2 linked regions of the Arabidopsis thaliana genome follow. The protein of the gene in region 2 interacts with the protein of the main gene of each other region in a pairwise test. Each region holds a gene or a part of one and is shown on either strand. Other genes may lie near its edges.

Region 1 (7,511 bases), on a different chromosome or scaffold from region 2:
TGGAAAATTAGTCAAGAGTTTTGTTAATGTGCCGAATATGATATCAATGGCGAGATTAGTATCTGGTCCTGTGCTTTGGTGGTAAGTATAGAAGTATATATTCCTCAGGAAGATAATATTAGGAGAATGAAGAATCTGAGACTTTGTTTGTGGTTCTATTGTAGGATGATCTCGAATGAGATGTATTCTTCTGCTTTCTTAGGGTTGGCTGTTTCTGGAGCTAGTGATTGGGTATGCATCTTCTTTGTGATTCTTTTTTCTTTTTTGTAGTATTGGAAGAAGAACATTGTATTAATAGATGCTTGATTTTGTAGTTAGATGGTTACGTGGCTCGGAGGATGAAGATTAACTCTGTGGTTGGCTCGTACCTTGATCCTCTTGCAGACAAGGTAAAGTCTTTCTTTATCTATTATGTGTTTTACTTTGTTGGCTCATTGTGGATGTTCTCTGAATGTGTTTGAGAGTTAAGGTTAGTTTCAAGCTGCAAACATGTGTGAGGTTTCATTTCATTTCAATTCCGTTTTCTTGATTGTGCTCGTGTTTTGAATTCAGGTTCTTATCGGGTGTGTAGCAGTAGCAATGGTGCAGAAGGATCTCTTACATCGTGAGTATTCTTCTACCTCTTTTACTCCTGGTAGATAATAAGTTAGCAGTTACAATTGAAACTTTGAAATAGCTAGAGTTCACAAAGTTGAAGGGCGGAATTTTCTCTTATAAGGAACATGTGCTTTGATTTACACTCCAATTGAGTGATCGCCTGGGAAAAATGTATCAGAATTGTCGTATTCATAATTTCATAAGCACAGTTATTTGATCTCCTTGAACAAACCTCCTTACAAGATTGCATGGATGTATCAAGAGGAAACCGTACTAAGTTAATTAACTAGTTGCTAAACTCGGCTGTGTGTGTTAGTCCTAGATTGCACTACTACCTTTTAAACTTCTTAAAAATCTTTGATACTATACTCAATTTTGGTGGATGCATGGGACATTTGTGCTCTAAAGCTGGACTGGTTGGAATTGTGTTGTTACGGGATGTTGCACTCGTTGGTGGTGCAGTTTACCTAAGGGCACTAAACTTGGACTGGAAGGTGAATTTTTGTAACTTGAGCTAGACCACTAAACTAATTTCTCTTGTTTCCCTACATTTTTTTCCTGCTCGACCATATGCTTTAACAAGAACACGAATAAATTTATTGATGGGAATCATATTGGTCTTGTTTCTTTCAGTGGAAAACTTGGAGTGACTTCTTCAATCTAGATGGTTCAAGTCCTCAGAAAGTAGAACCATTGTTTATAAGCAAGGTATGATCTCTAGGTGATACAGCTTGTTCTCATCTTGGCATCTTTGGTATGTGTAACTGATTTGTTAATGGAACATGTCTATCGACAGGTGAATACAGTTTTCCAGTTGACTCTAGTCGCTGGTGCAATACTTCAACCAGAGTTTGGGAATCCAGACACCCAGACATGGATCACTTATCTAAGGTAATAGGTCTTTTTCGAATTACCACACAGCTGGACTAATCACTACCCTTAAAGTTATAAACATATGAAGTGTGTTCTCTGAAATCTTGTTATTGGTCTCATGTTGTTTTGTATCCAGCTGGTTAGTTGCTTCGACGACTATGGCTTCAACTGCAGCTTATGGTGTACAATACTGGAAGAAGAGACCTATATCTATGATTAAGAGATCATAGTTTCTAGTTTCCAACATTTATAAACTTCACACACGAGGCACATGCTTAATTAAAGAAGCTTGAACATGTCTTGTTGTTTTCCGGAATACGCAGCTCTCACTGTTTTCTACTGCTAACTGAAATAGAAAAGGAAAAAAAATGTACTAAAAGCAATGAAACATTTGTTCTGATATCTGAACAAAAGTACATTTCTTCTGATATCTGAGTCGGGCAGTGAATTCAAAACATGTTCCCTCGCTAAAACATTGCGACACTAGTAGAGGTTGTGTACAAATTGAGTGTGTTCATATCAATAACCACTAAAAGCAAACGATGTTTGTATACACAAAAAGATGAAGAGATGGGAGGAAAGAGAAGGAACCAAAACACACCCAACTACTAGAAACTAGGGTGTGTGGGTCGCAACTACGTGTCAGAGTCAAAATAGACTTTTGTGTATCATCTGCCTTTGCACCATTTATATCTGATCCACAAGCCAAACTACTGATTCGGGTGTTTAGGTTTGGGAAATGTAAGATGACAGAATCAGTCTTGGTGGATTTCATCGAAAGGCGCAGCAGCAAACCTCACATCTTCTGGCCGTGCAACCACAACTGGTTCATCTGCAAATAACGCTTTGAGGAATGATGGAGTCTTTAATGGACGACGATTAGTCATTCGCGGATAAACCTCAGCCAGAAAGTAGTAAGCGTGACCTGCTATCATACCCTGAAATGTTTTGATCAGACTGAAGTTAACTTGGGTGACAAAAGATCAAAAGAGACTGGAGAAGAAATTTTTTGGGATAATCTGAGTATATACCAAAAGATCCACCCAAGCACTGGCACCAACAAGGATAGAGAAGCCAAGAAGCACCTGCAAAAGCCAGAATTTGCAGAAGATGTTATTTATTCATTCCGGTGGAAGTTTAGGGAAACGAGAGAGTTAAACTCACCCATGGTAGGTAAGCTGCTGTGAAGGTGAACAGACCAAGGAAACTCATGTGAATATAAGGATTTTGTTTGCTCCATACATAGACCTGTGGAACACAAGAGACTATAAGCTGATATTTAGAGGCGACTTAGATTTGTGGGAAACAGAAGTTACCAACCATCATGAAAGTTAATGAGTTGCTGAGGAAGATGATTTTAGCAAATGATGCTGACAAGTATGGTATCATTCCACCGATAAGTACAATACCGGTTAAAACAGATGCTCCAAATAGGAGCATGTATAGGAAATCAGCAGTCTTTCCCCTGAATGAGTTTTCTTCAAGGAGTTTGCAGTATCGTGCGAGAAAGAACATATGGAACATGAAGTCCAAATCTACAACAACCCCAAACACATATTTGTTTATAAGCAATCAATCAGTCACAACGCTATTAACAAGTAGCAGCCTAGAGCTAATAATGTGACAAAGACAAGAGCTTCATATGAAAGTAATAAGCACACAAATGTTGTATCCAGTTTCATAGAGTAGTGTTAAGGGAAAATTACCCATCTTCCGGAAATACAAGAAATTAGTAACGAGACGCCAATATTGGTATTGCTTCACCACAAGTGTCGGATTCAAATAAAGGTTATATGGAGATATGATCTGCAAAACAAAAACAATCAGAATATGAAACCCTAATTTAGAGAATTTCAGAGAACCCCAAAAAAGATTCGCGAATAAGCAAGCAAGCACGTACATCGAGGGAACATCCGACGGTGGTGATAACAGCCGCCGTGAGATAAGAGCGAGTGATAATCGGCATCTGTTTATACCATTCTTCTACAGCCTGAGCCATATCTTCTCCGTAATCGCAATCGATCCGATCAATCAAACACAGTAAAAGCCCAACGGAATCTATGGAAGCTTCTTCTTCTTCTTCTTCTTCTTCTTCTAAGGTTTGCAATGAGTGTATTCAGATTTCAAATTTCACCAACGCACAACTTCGAAACGAACGACGAAACTGAGAGATTCGTCTTCTTCGTTTGTTTTGTATATACAGAAATTTATATGTGTATAATAGTTTAACATTTGCGATATTTGTTTAATTACATGAGCACGACTAATCAGCAAGCGCGTGGATTACATCAGCTATATACTATTTTTTTTCATCAATGTATTTATAATTTTGGGTCGAGTCTTAAACAATATCTGATAACAAAAAAAGTATTTATAATTTATATATCATTTTAGAAAAGAAAAACAGAAAACTAAAATCTATAACTAAAACTAAAAAACCTATGATTACAACAAAAAATACTACAAAGAAAGCACAAACGATATCAGTAGTCGTTTGAAGAATAAACATTGTCTGAGAATAATCTGTGAAGCTCAGACATCTGCGTGATTGTCTCAGCTCCCAAAAAACTCGAACCTTTATTTTTATTGCCACGAACAAACCTTAGACGAAGTCAGTCCTCAAAACTCATATAAACAAAAATATCACTTGATATGCTTCGAAAACTTGTTAATTCACTCTCTTCATTTTGCACTGTTTGCCCAACACTGTTAACAAAAATTTTACACATGTACCCCTATATTATCGATTGCGTAAGTTGTAGCTTGTAGAGGGATATTATTGCAGTAGTGTAGAAGAAGATTTTATGTAGATATATTTGGGAAGTTGTGTTATTTTATTAATGGTTTTTTTTTCTTACGTAGTTACTCGTCTCTTTCCAGTTTTGTATGAAGATAAGAGACTGTCGTTTTGAGGCGTAAGAAAAAAAGAAATGATTCCTCCAAATTCTTGTTTTATTTCGTTCTGTTTTTCGAACAGAAGTTCATCTATCAGATTTGTGCTTTGTTCCTCGCGTCTTTTGCTAGTAATCGATATAGATGTTTCCTTTTTATTTTGATTTTGACTTCCTATCTTGAGTTGTTTTACAAGGATTTATGTTTTTTTTTCTAGGAACGATGCTGCCGATTCTTCTCCCTCCCCGTCTGATTGCTTTTGGCAAAGAACTTCGCGGCGAGAGGATTAATGTTTATCAGAAGATAAGGGATTAGCGTGATACTAATGTTATCAGAATGTGTTATCGCCCAACATTGTTACCATTTCAACCTCTCGGCCTTTGTTTATGGGATTTTTTTAATAAATTAACTAAAATGATATCGTGATTAGCAGCCACGAAATTATTTTGTTATTGGTTATAAGATTATCGTGATACCGTTGATTATCAGAAAATGTAAATAGTTTTGATTATTTTTGCAAAACATCAGAATACAACCTGCGAAACTCTCATTATTGTTTTGCTTATTTGCTAGAAGGTATATCGACTAACATTGTCACCAGCTAAGCTCGTTGAGACTTAATTTAAAAGGCTACAAACAAGAGGCTCGCGTTAGCGGATAAGAGTGTATGTTTTAATGTTACCGAAGCGTCTCACTAGCTTTGATTCGTGTCAAAACACAAATTGACATCGTCTCGTTATTATTTTAATTATCTGCTAGTAGTTTTAACGACTAACTTCGTTACCATTTCCACTTGTAGGCTTTTGCTTATGGGTTTTTAAAAAAAAACTAACTAAACGTTATCGTGTTTATCAGATACAAACTTATCATGTTAGCCGTACACGGTTAGTAATCAGAGAGTGTTATTAGTTTTGCGTTAGCAGATACGAGATTATCGCGATACTAATATTATTAAATAGCAATATAAGTTTTGATTCTTGTTCAAAACCCAAAGCGACAACGTGTGGAATCGATATGAAATTATCCTGTTATCAAATTATCCTCGTACACAATTGTTTGAGACTTATTTTAAAAGGCTTCGAATAAAAAGGCTCGTGTTAGCAGATAAGAGATTATCGTGATATTAATGTTACTTAAGCGTCCCACTATCTTTGATTCGTGTCGAAACACAAATAGATATTATATCGTTATGTTTATAATACCCACAACCCCATAAATATCATACCCGCAACCCCATTTTTTATCATGCATAGTTTATTAATTTTCCGATCATCTGAGTATAGATAGTAATATAACCCTAAACAAAACGACTTAAATTACAATTTTATGAGGGATTATTTGATCAAGGATTAAAATCAATATCTATGTTTTAAGATTTAGAAACTACTTTTTTTCTTTCTAAATTTCCATGTTTAATTTGTGTGGATTTCATATTTTTTTACTATATTTTTTTTTGTTTCTTTAGTAATATAATCAAATCTGTTTCAATTCATTTCATTGTAAAGACCAACATTGGATTATGTTCGAATTTATATTGGCACTAATATCCATGATTCAATAGTACCTAGACAGTGAAGATATTTAATGAATTTGAGCTAACTATTGGCTTTTTAGCGACAGTGATAGTGAGGAAAAATAATAATAATAATAATAATCACAGAAAAGAAAAGAAAAAATTGTTTCTTTTAGTTTGGAATATTGGCTGCACATTTCAGAAAAAAAAAAAAAAGTGTTAGAATTTTTGAGCAATTTTAATCTTGAGCTTTATCAGCTTTACCAACAAATCCATTATCTATATTCACAGAAGAATCATCAATCTCAGGAGGCTGACTCAAACCAGCTGTTTCTTGAAGAATCTCTGCTGCAGAATCTGAGTTTGAATCAGAAGCTTTCATTTGCATTGGCTTCATGAGCTGGACTTGTTTTTGTGTTGCAGCAGACACTACGTTTATATCAGATGCTTTCATTTGCATTGGCTTCAAACCAGCATTTGTTTCACTAGCTGTGATTTCTTCTTGAGCTTGTATCTCCATTGAATCTCTGAAAACTTTACTTAGAAAGCTTACGTCGTCAGACATTACTCCAAATCCTGTCAACAGCTTCGAACCGAGCTGTAAACTTGTCTATAAACCCGAAACAAACAACCAAACTCGTTCAGAAAGAAATCTTACTGTGATCATAAAAGAGCAGACATCTTTTGGAAGTTTTTTACCTCTGCATTTTCGAGAATTGCATCTGTGGCTCCTGCTTTCTTTAGTTCAAGGAGATGCGGTAAATCTTGAGCTCTTGCGTAAATAGGACTCTGGTAATATGTTAAAAGGAACAGTTGTTGTCACTTAAACTTGATGTCTCAAACGATTTTATTGACAAAAGGAAGAAGGAAGAGAGAAATAACCCCGGGGAAGGCAAGACGGAGTCTTTGAACAGCCTCAGTGGTTCTCTTCTTGCCTTTATACATTATCATGATAGCTTTAGGAGATGAAACCCCTGCAGATTGCAAAACCGATGGTCGAGATCCGTCTCCATACAATATCGGGAAACCGAGTTTCCTTGATTCCTACCAAACCACCACCATAAAGAAAAAACTAGTTTAGAATGCCAAAAATTTGATCAGGTCAGGAACAAACGAAGTTATCTGTTACAGACCTTCACTACAGCAGGATTCAGATCAAAACCAATATAAGGCCATCCCACAAGATCACTATCTGAGACCAATGGCGTTGACAAAAAATTGGCCAGAACCTGCAAAATCATATCGACTCGATGAGAAACCACTTAGCACAACTTTTCCAGGAAAGCAAATGATGACTTTTACCTGACCCATTTGTCCAAATCCAATGATGACAATTGATTCACTAACATCGAAGTTCACATCTTCACCTATTTTCTGCACAATTGTCAACAGATTCAAGATGAATGCAAATTTTATTTTTCATATAAATGCAAAAGTAGAAAATTTAAAAGTTACCTCTCCGGGATCAAGTCTCTCATCAAGAAAATCGGCGGCTTTTCTTCCAAGTTGGTTAAGATAAGGTGTTAATGCCATAGACAAAACAACTACGATAATGAGCAGTTTGTTCAGCTCATTTGGAAGCACTCCTAGCCTGCACAAATGATTGCAACAATCATGACCACCTAATTAGTAAGGA
Region 2 (8,609 bases):
GAAGAGCTTATATAGATAAAAGCAAATTCGATTGTATTTATCTTTTGTTAACGAAAAATATATAATTTATTTCTTAATGTATAAGAACCAGTTTAAATTATACCTCTATTGATTTGGGTTTGTTTGTCAATGTATTGACTAAAGTCAAAATTAGGAACACCAAACACATGAGTTAGTTTGGGAGTGGCCAACAATGTAAAATATCCGTTAAAGTTGATGTACAAGAGACCAAGAAAATAAGATTGGTATCGTTGAGATTAATGTACTCTTGTCAAAATGTAGCCATAGCTCTTCTATATTCTTAGTTTTGTATGATATGGATTAAAATATTATATTGGGTCGATTTAAGAAGAATCAAAAGGTTGAGGGAATTATTTTGAAGAAAGTGGAGAAGTGAAGGGTAATGAATTTGGTGATGATGACAATGGAGAGAAGGTGCAACCGTGTGCGTAGGTTTGTCGCCACTCTTTGTCGGCTCTGTTCTCTATCTGCTTAACAAGCCCTCACATTTCCCTATTTCCACGTTCTTCTTTAGGATATGGAGACGGCTTCACTCACGTGTTTGGTAGGGCTTCCACGCACATGTATCCATGTTACTTCTTCCCATTTTCTTAAAAATATATTTTAAAAGCCATGAAACTTTTTTACTTCTCGATAATTGAGATTTTGTACTTTGTAGTTTAAAACATCACTATGAGTATGTTGTGTTCTATTTTTTTCTTCTGAAGACTGAAGATTTGTTACATTTGGAATATAAAAATTTTCTTGTGAAGACTGAAGAGTTTTACATTGATTGAAATATAAAGTTCTTGAAGGAATAAACGGTTAGGTTTCTAATAACTAACAATGATTATTTTCAACATTCAACTGAATTTAGATGAGTTTAAAATTCCCTGATCAAAATAACAAAAGGAGGTTGATGGTACTACAAATAAGTTGCACCTATTTTCGTAATCTTAAGTTTGTCGTAAGTACTATGTCGATAACAGAAAATTATCGGCATGAACCAAAATTGTAAAGAGCAACATGAACATCAACGAATTTATCAGGTTCATCCGATTTTTATGTATAAGTGTAACATCAACATTTTCATTATGAAAAGAAAACATTAATCAACTTTTACGTAAAACAAAAGGAAAAAAAAAAACAGAACACACGACTAGAATAAAACTAAAAGTTAACCTCTGTACAATGGAGATCTTTGTTGAAAAATCATCTTGGAGACTCTTGATTGTCTGAAAACCTTAATCGGACTTGGAAAGTACCAACCATTTCCCTTACTAGTCACCGGCGTCGGTGAGAATAGAACTTCTCCGGCAACGGAATTCGACTTCTTCATAACCTTAGCAGCCTTTATTTTCGTCTCTTCTTCTCTGTTTCCTCTGAACAATCTCCATAGCCAACGTCCACGACCCGGTTTAAGATCCTTCTCAGTTTCTAATATCGGTTCCGGTTTAGCAGACCAGAAATAAGGACCCGTAATCGATGTCGACCTCCGAAACGCCGGTTCGCATTCAATCAAGTTGGCAACACGGCCAACCGACCCAATACGGGCGAACGAAACGTCACCTTCTCCACGGGAAGACACGGAGGCGCGTGGAGTACACGAACAGGGAAGATCGTGAGCACAATCGGGACAGAGAGAGGAGAGGCGTTCGTGGAGGCAATAAGGACAAACACCGGCAACGCAGACAAAACGACCTTCGTGTCTTGAGCATTTCTGCCAAACGCTGCCTCCTCCTTCGTCCAAACGCAAATTCGTTTGAGTTTTCTCGCGTTGCATTTTCTTGTCTCTGAATCTCAGTTGCTTGTTGTGAAGGAGAGAGAGATGGAGAGATAAAGGTTTTAATATTGGAGTAATCAAATAAAGATTAATCCACTAATAAGCCCCACTCTGCTTAAGTCTTAACCATAACCGTAGTTAGTCAAACTAACTAAAGCTTAACTCATCAGCTCCGAATTATATGCCTTGATTATCGATCCCTCGCATATCCTTTGTAGATTTACGACTCACTATTACGTGGTTAATTTAGTAATTGTAGTTAAAACTTTCAAATTTTTATCTAAACTCACTGATATATATTAAAATTTCCCACACTACACATTTTTTTTTGTTACATCAATTAAAAATTTTCTTATTAGAAACTCTAAAAACATCATTGTTGTTACATGAAACTATGATACAGATTAGTGCAATTTGTAGATTCGGCAGCTTGTAAAATCGTATTGTTTTTTTGGTCATTGTTTGTAAAGACTTTTTGGTCTGTTTACCGTAATTTTTTTCGCTGATAATGAGAGTGAAGTCATATACTAATATATATCGGATATGATACAACTCAGTTACAACTTTGAACCAGTGAAACAAGTTTTTATTACCAGAACATGAAACAGAGAAGACGTTTTAAAAATACACGTACATATGATAGAACACAAAAGAGTCATCCTTATACAAACACATGAGCTAAAAAAGATGGTTTTGATCCTGGGTTTTTAACGAAAGGGAATTTGATTCCTGTGACTGCTCAAATGTGCAGCAGCCAAGAGCCATGTGAATCGAAACTGGTTACTTTCTCAAGTGAGGCGGTTTCATCTACAACAACATGACTAAGGGGAGGATCAAGATGTGTATGGGACAAAAAAGTGTGCAACGTACCAGTATTTTGAATGGTGTGAAAATGAGATATTTTTTTTTCAGTAATGGTTCCAGAGCAGACGTCTGTTCATGGCTGGTGGAGCTAGGCCCACACCCGGTATGTCGCGAATGTCTTTGTTGTTTGGGTTCACAATCTATACAAAAGAAATAAAAAGAAGAAGTTACATGTATGATAATGTGAACAAGATAACAGCGTTGGAAGGAAAGATATTGCAGATGAATCTAGAAGTGAGATCAAATTAACAATCACATAGGAGACAACTTTATATATTGCATAACTGAATAATGGAGAAAGACAAAATTGTGGGTATTTGTGCTTTTTATAGGTTCTTCGATCAACAAGGTATCCAGCAAAGTAAAAAACATAACCTCATATTATTCAAGAAAAAATAATGATGAACACCGAAATCTATTTAACTCAAACAAGTATCCAAGTGTGTGTGCACATTTGAATAAGAAAGGAGATGAGATGTACCTTGACGATGATGATTGCTATGACACCAATGACGATAAGGAAAAGAAATGCCATAATACATTTGTCAGTGGCAACCTGATAAAAGAAGGACAGAGAGTAAGTGAAAGGGACAAGAAGGAGCTGCAGATAACAAGTAATGATGATATAAAGAAGAAATAAGGAGATTTATGAGACTAACCTGCCTACCAATTTCCTTGACCAGCTTGGAGGCTTTCTTGAGTGAGAAATGAATAGAATCGAGCTCATTGACAACTCTACTCATTTGCTCGGTCTGAACAAGGAAAATGTAAACTATCTTAATAATTCTCAGAATTCACACACAAATACACAATCTTGGAAAAAAATGAGATTCAGGTAGAAGCAGGACTGTTTGGAAAGAAACAAGTGTGGGCTAACTACACACCTGAGCCTTGAGAGCTGCTGAAGTATCTGTTCCCACATTTATAGTTTCTTGTACAATCTGTTGTCACAGACACAAAAAAAGCAGTGAGATTTTGCTTTAGTGAAGATGGAAAAATGGACACAAGTTATCACATGGCATTCACGGCTCCATGAACATTAGACTGAAATTTCAAGAGACAATAAGACATTCATATAATCTGAAAACGGACCTTTTTCCCTCTCTCAATAGCTTGATCTGTGTCATCCATCATTGAGTTTCCTTTATCCATTAACTCTTGATTGGACATGTCTGAGAGTTATTAAGTTTCCAGTAAATACTCTAGTTAGGTTGTATGTAATCATATAACAACAAAGTGCAATAAATATCTATCTCATTGTTAGTTGGTCGCAAAATACGAGATTTAAAGACTTACTTGAAGCTAATAAGACATTTTCTTCCATGTGTTCTTCTCCAGGTCCATCGAAAAGATCTACTCGCTTGTTATTGCTTGCTAGGTTTGATGAGTATCTGTATAACCATCCTCATTATCATCAATCACCATAAATATGAGCATCAGTTAAGCAATTAGCAAAAGTGTGACCTACTTCTTCTTAAGAGCAACATATGAGTTGAGTTCCTTAACCATAGATTGTCGTCTATCGTTCAACATCCGGTTAGTGCTGGCATCATTACCGCTTTCCAAGCTTTTGATTTCCCTATCGAAATCTTTAATAAGGCTGCAAAGAAGAAGAACAAGGCATCATCATCATCATCATTGGATAATCAAACACCAGATTCAATGAATGTATACCTCTTACAGTCACGCATTTTGTCAGTGAGTTCTTCCAGCTGCCTACTCTGCCTATTAGCATCTTTGATCTTCTCCAGCTTCTGGAATCCATTTCTGTAGAAAACAAAAACATCAAAACATTATTATATAGACACAAATACCAAATCACAAATGGAGAGAAAACGCTAGAGAGAGATTCATTCTCACGATAAAGCACGGAAGATGTCATTGATTTGTCCTTCGATCTCAGCCAGCTCTTCGCTAACCGCTGATATTGGATCCATCTTTACACAGATTCCCAGAAAAATTCAGTGCCGATATACAAAAGACAACAATGTCTCTTCTTCAGATCCACGCGAGCAGTTTTTGAAAAATGTCGACCACGAATCGACTCGCCGAGATTAGATCCGATGGATCTGAAATCGAATCACCTCCAACGAAAAGAATTGAAAGCCTGGTGTCAAAATCGCCGAGCAAATCGTAATAACAGAACCCGTGTTTTTTTTCTTCAGATCTAAGAACAATGTGGATGTTCAAAATCGATAACGAAGAGATAGATATCAAAATCACGAGCACGAGCTCTCTCTCCCCTACACCCAGATTTTATTTGTTTTGTTTTTCCCTAATTTCTCTCGGACATTTTTTGTTTTTGTTCTTGGGGAATTCTAAAAGCTAATTTTTTGCCATTGATTTGGCTCGAAGGGACGAAAATGAGAGATTTTGAAAAACTGCGTTACCGAAAACCAGTGGGACCCGCCACGACATCGTTTGTCAGTGTTGGAACTCATATAACCTGGGACGTACGATTGGTCACCTCTCCAGATCTGACGATCCACACTCTTTACATTAGCTTAATTTTGATAATTGACTTTAAATGAAATTAAAATAAAGAGCACATCATAATAATTAATTCGAAAACGAAACAAAACTTTCAGTCCTTCATTAAATTAGAATCGTTTATTTATTATACAAACCGGTAAATGCAAAAATCGAAATCCAAACTAAATTTGAAAATAAGAAAAATTAGGACAAAGAAAAAAAAAAAGTGTACTTAAGAAAAACCGAATTCAACTAATTAAGGGAAGTGTATAATGTCATCTAGCTTGGCCCAAATAAAAACGGCCTAAATCCTTGCTTTTAGTTCATTCAAATAAATGCTTCATAGCATGAGATGTTGTCTGCTGTGTGAATCATAAGATCCCTCTTTTGATTTCAGATTTTCAGCCCATTTTACATTGTTTCTGAATCTGTTGAAATGTTGTCTGTTAAGGGACCAGATATGGTGCCAGTCTTAGGAAGCAAATCAAGAAGATGGAAGTGAGTCAGCACAGCAAATACTTCTGCTAGTTCTGTGGCAAGTATGCTGTTAAACGGAAGGCTGTTGGAATTTGGGGATGTAAGGACTGTGGGAAAGTTAAGGCTGGAGGTGCCTACACGATGAATACTGCTAGTGCTGTAACTGTTAGGAGTACCATCAGAAGGCTCAGAGAACAAACTGAGAGCTAGACTTCTTCTACTCATACACAACTTTTCAAGACCAGATTCATCTTTTGTTATAAGACTGATATACCAGATTCTTCTAATTGTTTAATCAAGATAGGGATTTTTGGCTACATGTATGTCAGTTGCATTCTATGAAGCAGACCCAATTTTTTTCTTGTTGATATACAAAGATCATCTCTAGTTTATTATCTACAGTTTCAAACTAGCTTTGCTCATAAAGGAACAAGAAAACCTGTTAAGGAAGATCTCTTCTAACCTATGCTCAACAATTGGTTTCAAGATCGCCATCATTCCTGTGAAAGGTCTGGGATTGGACAGCCTTCACGGCTGCTACTCTAGCTGCATTCGCTGCTCTATTTGCAGCCATCACCGCTCTCTTGATCCTCTCTTCCACTTTCACAACTTCATGTGCTTTCTCAGCTGCTTTCCTTGCTTGCTGAAGGAGAAAGAGAGAACAAGCTTAGTTTAATACATATATGGTGTTTGCAGTACTAAAGATAAACTACTAGTTAACTTTTACCTCAACAGCATCAACAACTTTGGAATGGCTTATGGTAAAAGATGATCCAGGACGGATAGTCTGCTCGGTAGGACAACTGAGTACACCGTCTTCCCAATGACCGGCTTGTGTATCACCATTCCTGAAAGTATACATACCAAGCCCTTGCCTTCTTCCCTCGTGCCAAGCTCCTTCATACTTATGCCCGTTCGCAAAGTGATACACTCCAAAACCATGCATCTTGTCTGCAAAATACTCCCCAGCATACGCATCACCATTTCTGCAACAGCAGCATAACTCCAAGTTAAATGTAGTTTTAAAGCCATGGTACCGCTAAAGCATACTGGACCACCAGTGCTTCATGCAATTGCTTAAGATCAATGCTAACTGAGAGTAACACAAAAGCCTAAACTTTGATGTTCACTAGACTAGCTTATAAGGTGAGGATAACCACAAGAAGCAGGAAACAAAACCCAGTTATCCATCTGATGTCAGAAATCGAAATTGAAAACCTTTCAGAGGTCCTCCAGATTCACACACCCAAGTGAACAAGGGCAACAATAAAGAGAAAGACAACTACACGACCCTTCAAAAACAATGGAACTCAAGATAGCAAACACACTTAGACGAGCAACATATACAGGGATCTAATGCACCACCATTACAGGTCAAAGCACAACCATATTCCAGAAACTCAAATGACTATGCAGAGTAAAAAAGAACAATGCTGACCTGAAATGGTAACTACCAAGGCCATGTTTGACACCCCACTTGAACTCTCCGTCATATCTACTTCCATCCTCAGAGGTATATACACCACAACCATGGCACTGCCCATTAGACCATTCACCAGCATACACATCTCCTGTATAAAACGTATAAACTCCAATTCCATGTCTTAGACCTAACCTATATTGACCTCGATACCTACTCCCTTTAGACCATGTTTCTACTCCATAACCATCATATTTCCCATCAATCCACTCTCCTTCGTATTTGCCTTTCATAGAATAGTAATAAACTCCACTTCCTGAACACTTTCCTCTATGAAACTCTCCTTCATACATATCATTAGTGCCATACTTCTGAACCCAAGATCCTGAATTTGTCTTATTATTCTCCGCAACTGGCTTCGACCCAATGGACCAAACAACTCGGTCAGTGCTCGGCTGAGAGGAAGAGAATCTGGCAGGGATAAATGTCAGCAAGCGTGCGACAAAAAGACGAATTGATGTTAAGTGAGGAAGAGCGAATCTGAGAGAGATCGAGAGGATGAAGGATAAAGCGATAATCACAAAGACTAGACGAAGGAAGATACGAAGATTGATAACAAGGAAGAAGATGTATAAAGGAGGGACAGCGAGAAGAAGCAAGAAACGAAGATGGAAACAAATCAAACGGGCTCTAAGGGTATAGCGTAGAAGCTTCCTCAAGAACCGAGCAATCACAGGACGATAGGAAGAAAGAGAAGACAAAAGATTTGATGGGAAAAATGAAGAAATCGATCCTGATCGTGCCCGTGCGCTTCTTCGTCGGAAATGGTCAACACCGGTTGGGATATCAACCGTGTGATGATGATTCTGACCTTGGGGATGATTATACTTAGTGAAGCCAGAGCCTTTATTATCAATGGCGGTTCGATTTTTATTCTGGGTCTGATGATGATGATGAATCGGATTGGGGATTTGGTTTGGATCGGAATCGTCTTTCCCGATTAATCGTCGTTCTGTTACAGATGATTTCTTCAGATGCATTTACATAAAGAGTATGGAACTTGGAAAGAGGATTTGGGGAGAAATGGTAGGGGATTTAGGGTTGTTGAAAATTAGGGTTTTTTCCAAATCAAAGCCTCTGGTTTTTGTTCCTAAAACAGTTTCCAAGTTTTCGCGAAGAAGAAGAAGAAGGAAGAAGAAGAGAAGAGCTCAATTTTGAACTTTTGAAACTAAGGTAAGAGATCCACGTGAGAACACAATAAACACCTCTTAGTTTCAGTTATTTACTAAAATGCCATCCATTTGCCACTTGTTGACCCAGTCCTTGATGACAATTTTTACTTAATGATTAAACAAATTATTAAGAGAGCTTATTCTCTAAGATTCCAAAATTGTGTGTATCTCTAATTGCAAAAACTTCAGGTGATTTTAAAGTAATGGTGTTTTATTATATGGTGTATTTATTTTTCTCTATTTAATTTATTTGGTGGTTTGGTTGTTAATTACCAACCAATAATTGTTTGTATGTTTATTTTAGTGAGTTATAATTACAATTGCGAGCTAACCTCCAAAACATAAAATCCAGTGAACCCGG

Evidence for each region.
Region 1: the proteins of NPSN11 (region 2) and DER2.2 interact in a protein complementation assay, tested with the Arabidopsis thaliana proteins (one large-scale study listed by BioGRID).

What each region holds. Positions count from the first base shown.
Region 1 is NC_003075.7:2,456,093-2,463,603, reverse strand, and holds DER2.2 (DERLIN-2.2), read right to left. Parts: upstream 3,752-7,511; 5' UTR 3,470-3,751; coding exon 3,371-3,469; intron 3,277-3,370; coding exon 3,177-3,276; exon of another isoform or gene 3,006-3,176; coding exon 2,791-3,005; intron 2,719-2,790; coding exon 2,635-2,718; intron 2,556-2,634; coding exon 2,502-2,555; intron 2,409-2,501; coding exon 2,226-2,408; 3' UTR 1,865-2,225; downstream 1-1,864. Other genes in the region: CLS (cardiolipin synthase), read left to right, coding at 1-81, 165-231, 315-389, 553-604, 1,006-1,091, 1,231-1,305, 1,394-1,488, 1,607-1,700; KEA3 (K+ efflux antiporter 3), read right to left, coding at 6,114-6,485, 6,575-6,664, 6,758-6,919, 7,009-7,104, 7,178-7,249, 7,331-7,466. UniProt on the Arabidopsis thaliana protein: May be involved in the degradation process of specific misfolded endoplasmic reticulum (ER) luminal proteins.
Region 2 is NC_003071.7:14,827,062-14,835,670, reverse strand, and holds NPSN11 (Putative plant snare 11), read right to left. Parts: upstream 5,046-8,609; 5' UTR 4,585-5,045; coding exon 4,508-4,584; intron 4,415-4,507; coding exon 4,322-4,414; intron 4,248-4,321; coding exon 4,116-4,247; intron 4,039-4,115; coding exon 3,944-4,038; intron 3,820-3,943; coding exon 3,740-3,819; intron 3,589-3,739; coding exon 3,532-3,588; intron 3,400-3,531; coding exon 3,307-3,399; intron 3,204-3,306; coding exon 3,129-3,203; intron 2,788-3,128; coding exon 2,692-2,787; 3' UTR 2,254-2,691; downstream 1-2,253. Other genes in the region: AT2G35200 (DUF740 family protein), read right to left, coding at 1,178-1,783; AT2G35170 (Histone H3 K4-specific methyltransferase SET7/9 family protein), read right to left, coding at 6,066-6,239, 6,324-6,582, 7,035-8,056. UniProt on the Arabidopsis thaliana protein: t-SNARE involved in diverse vesicle trafficking and membrane fusion processes, including cell plate formation.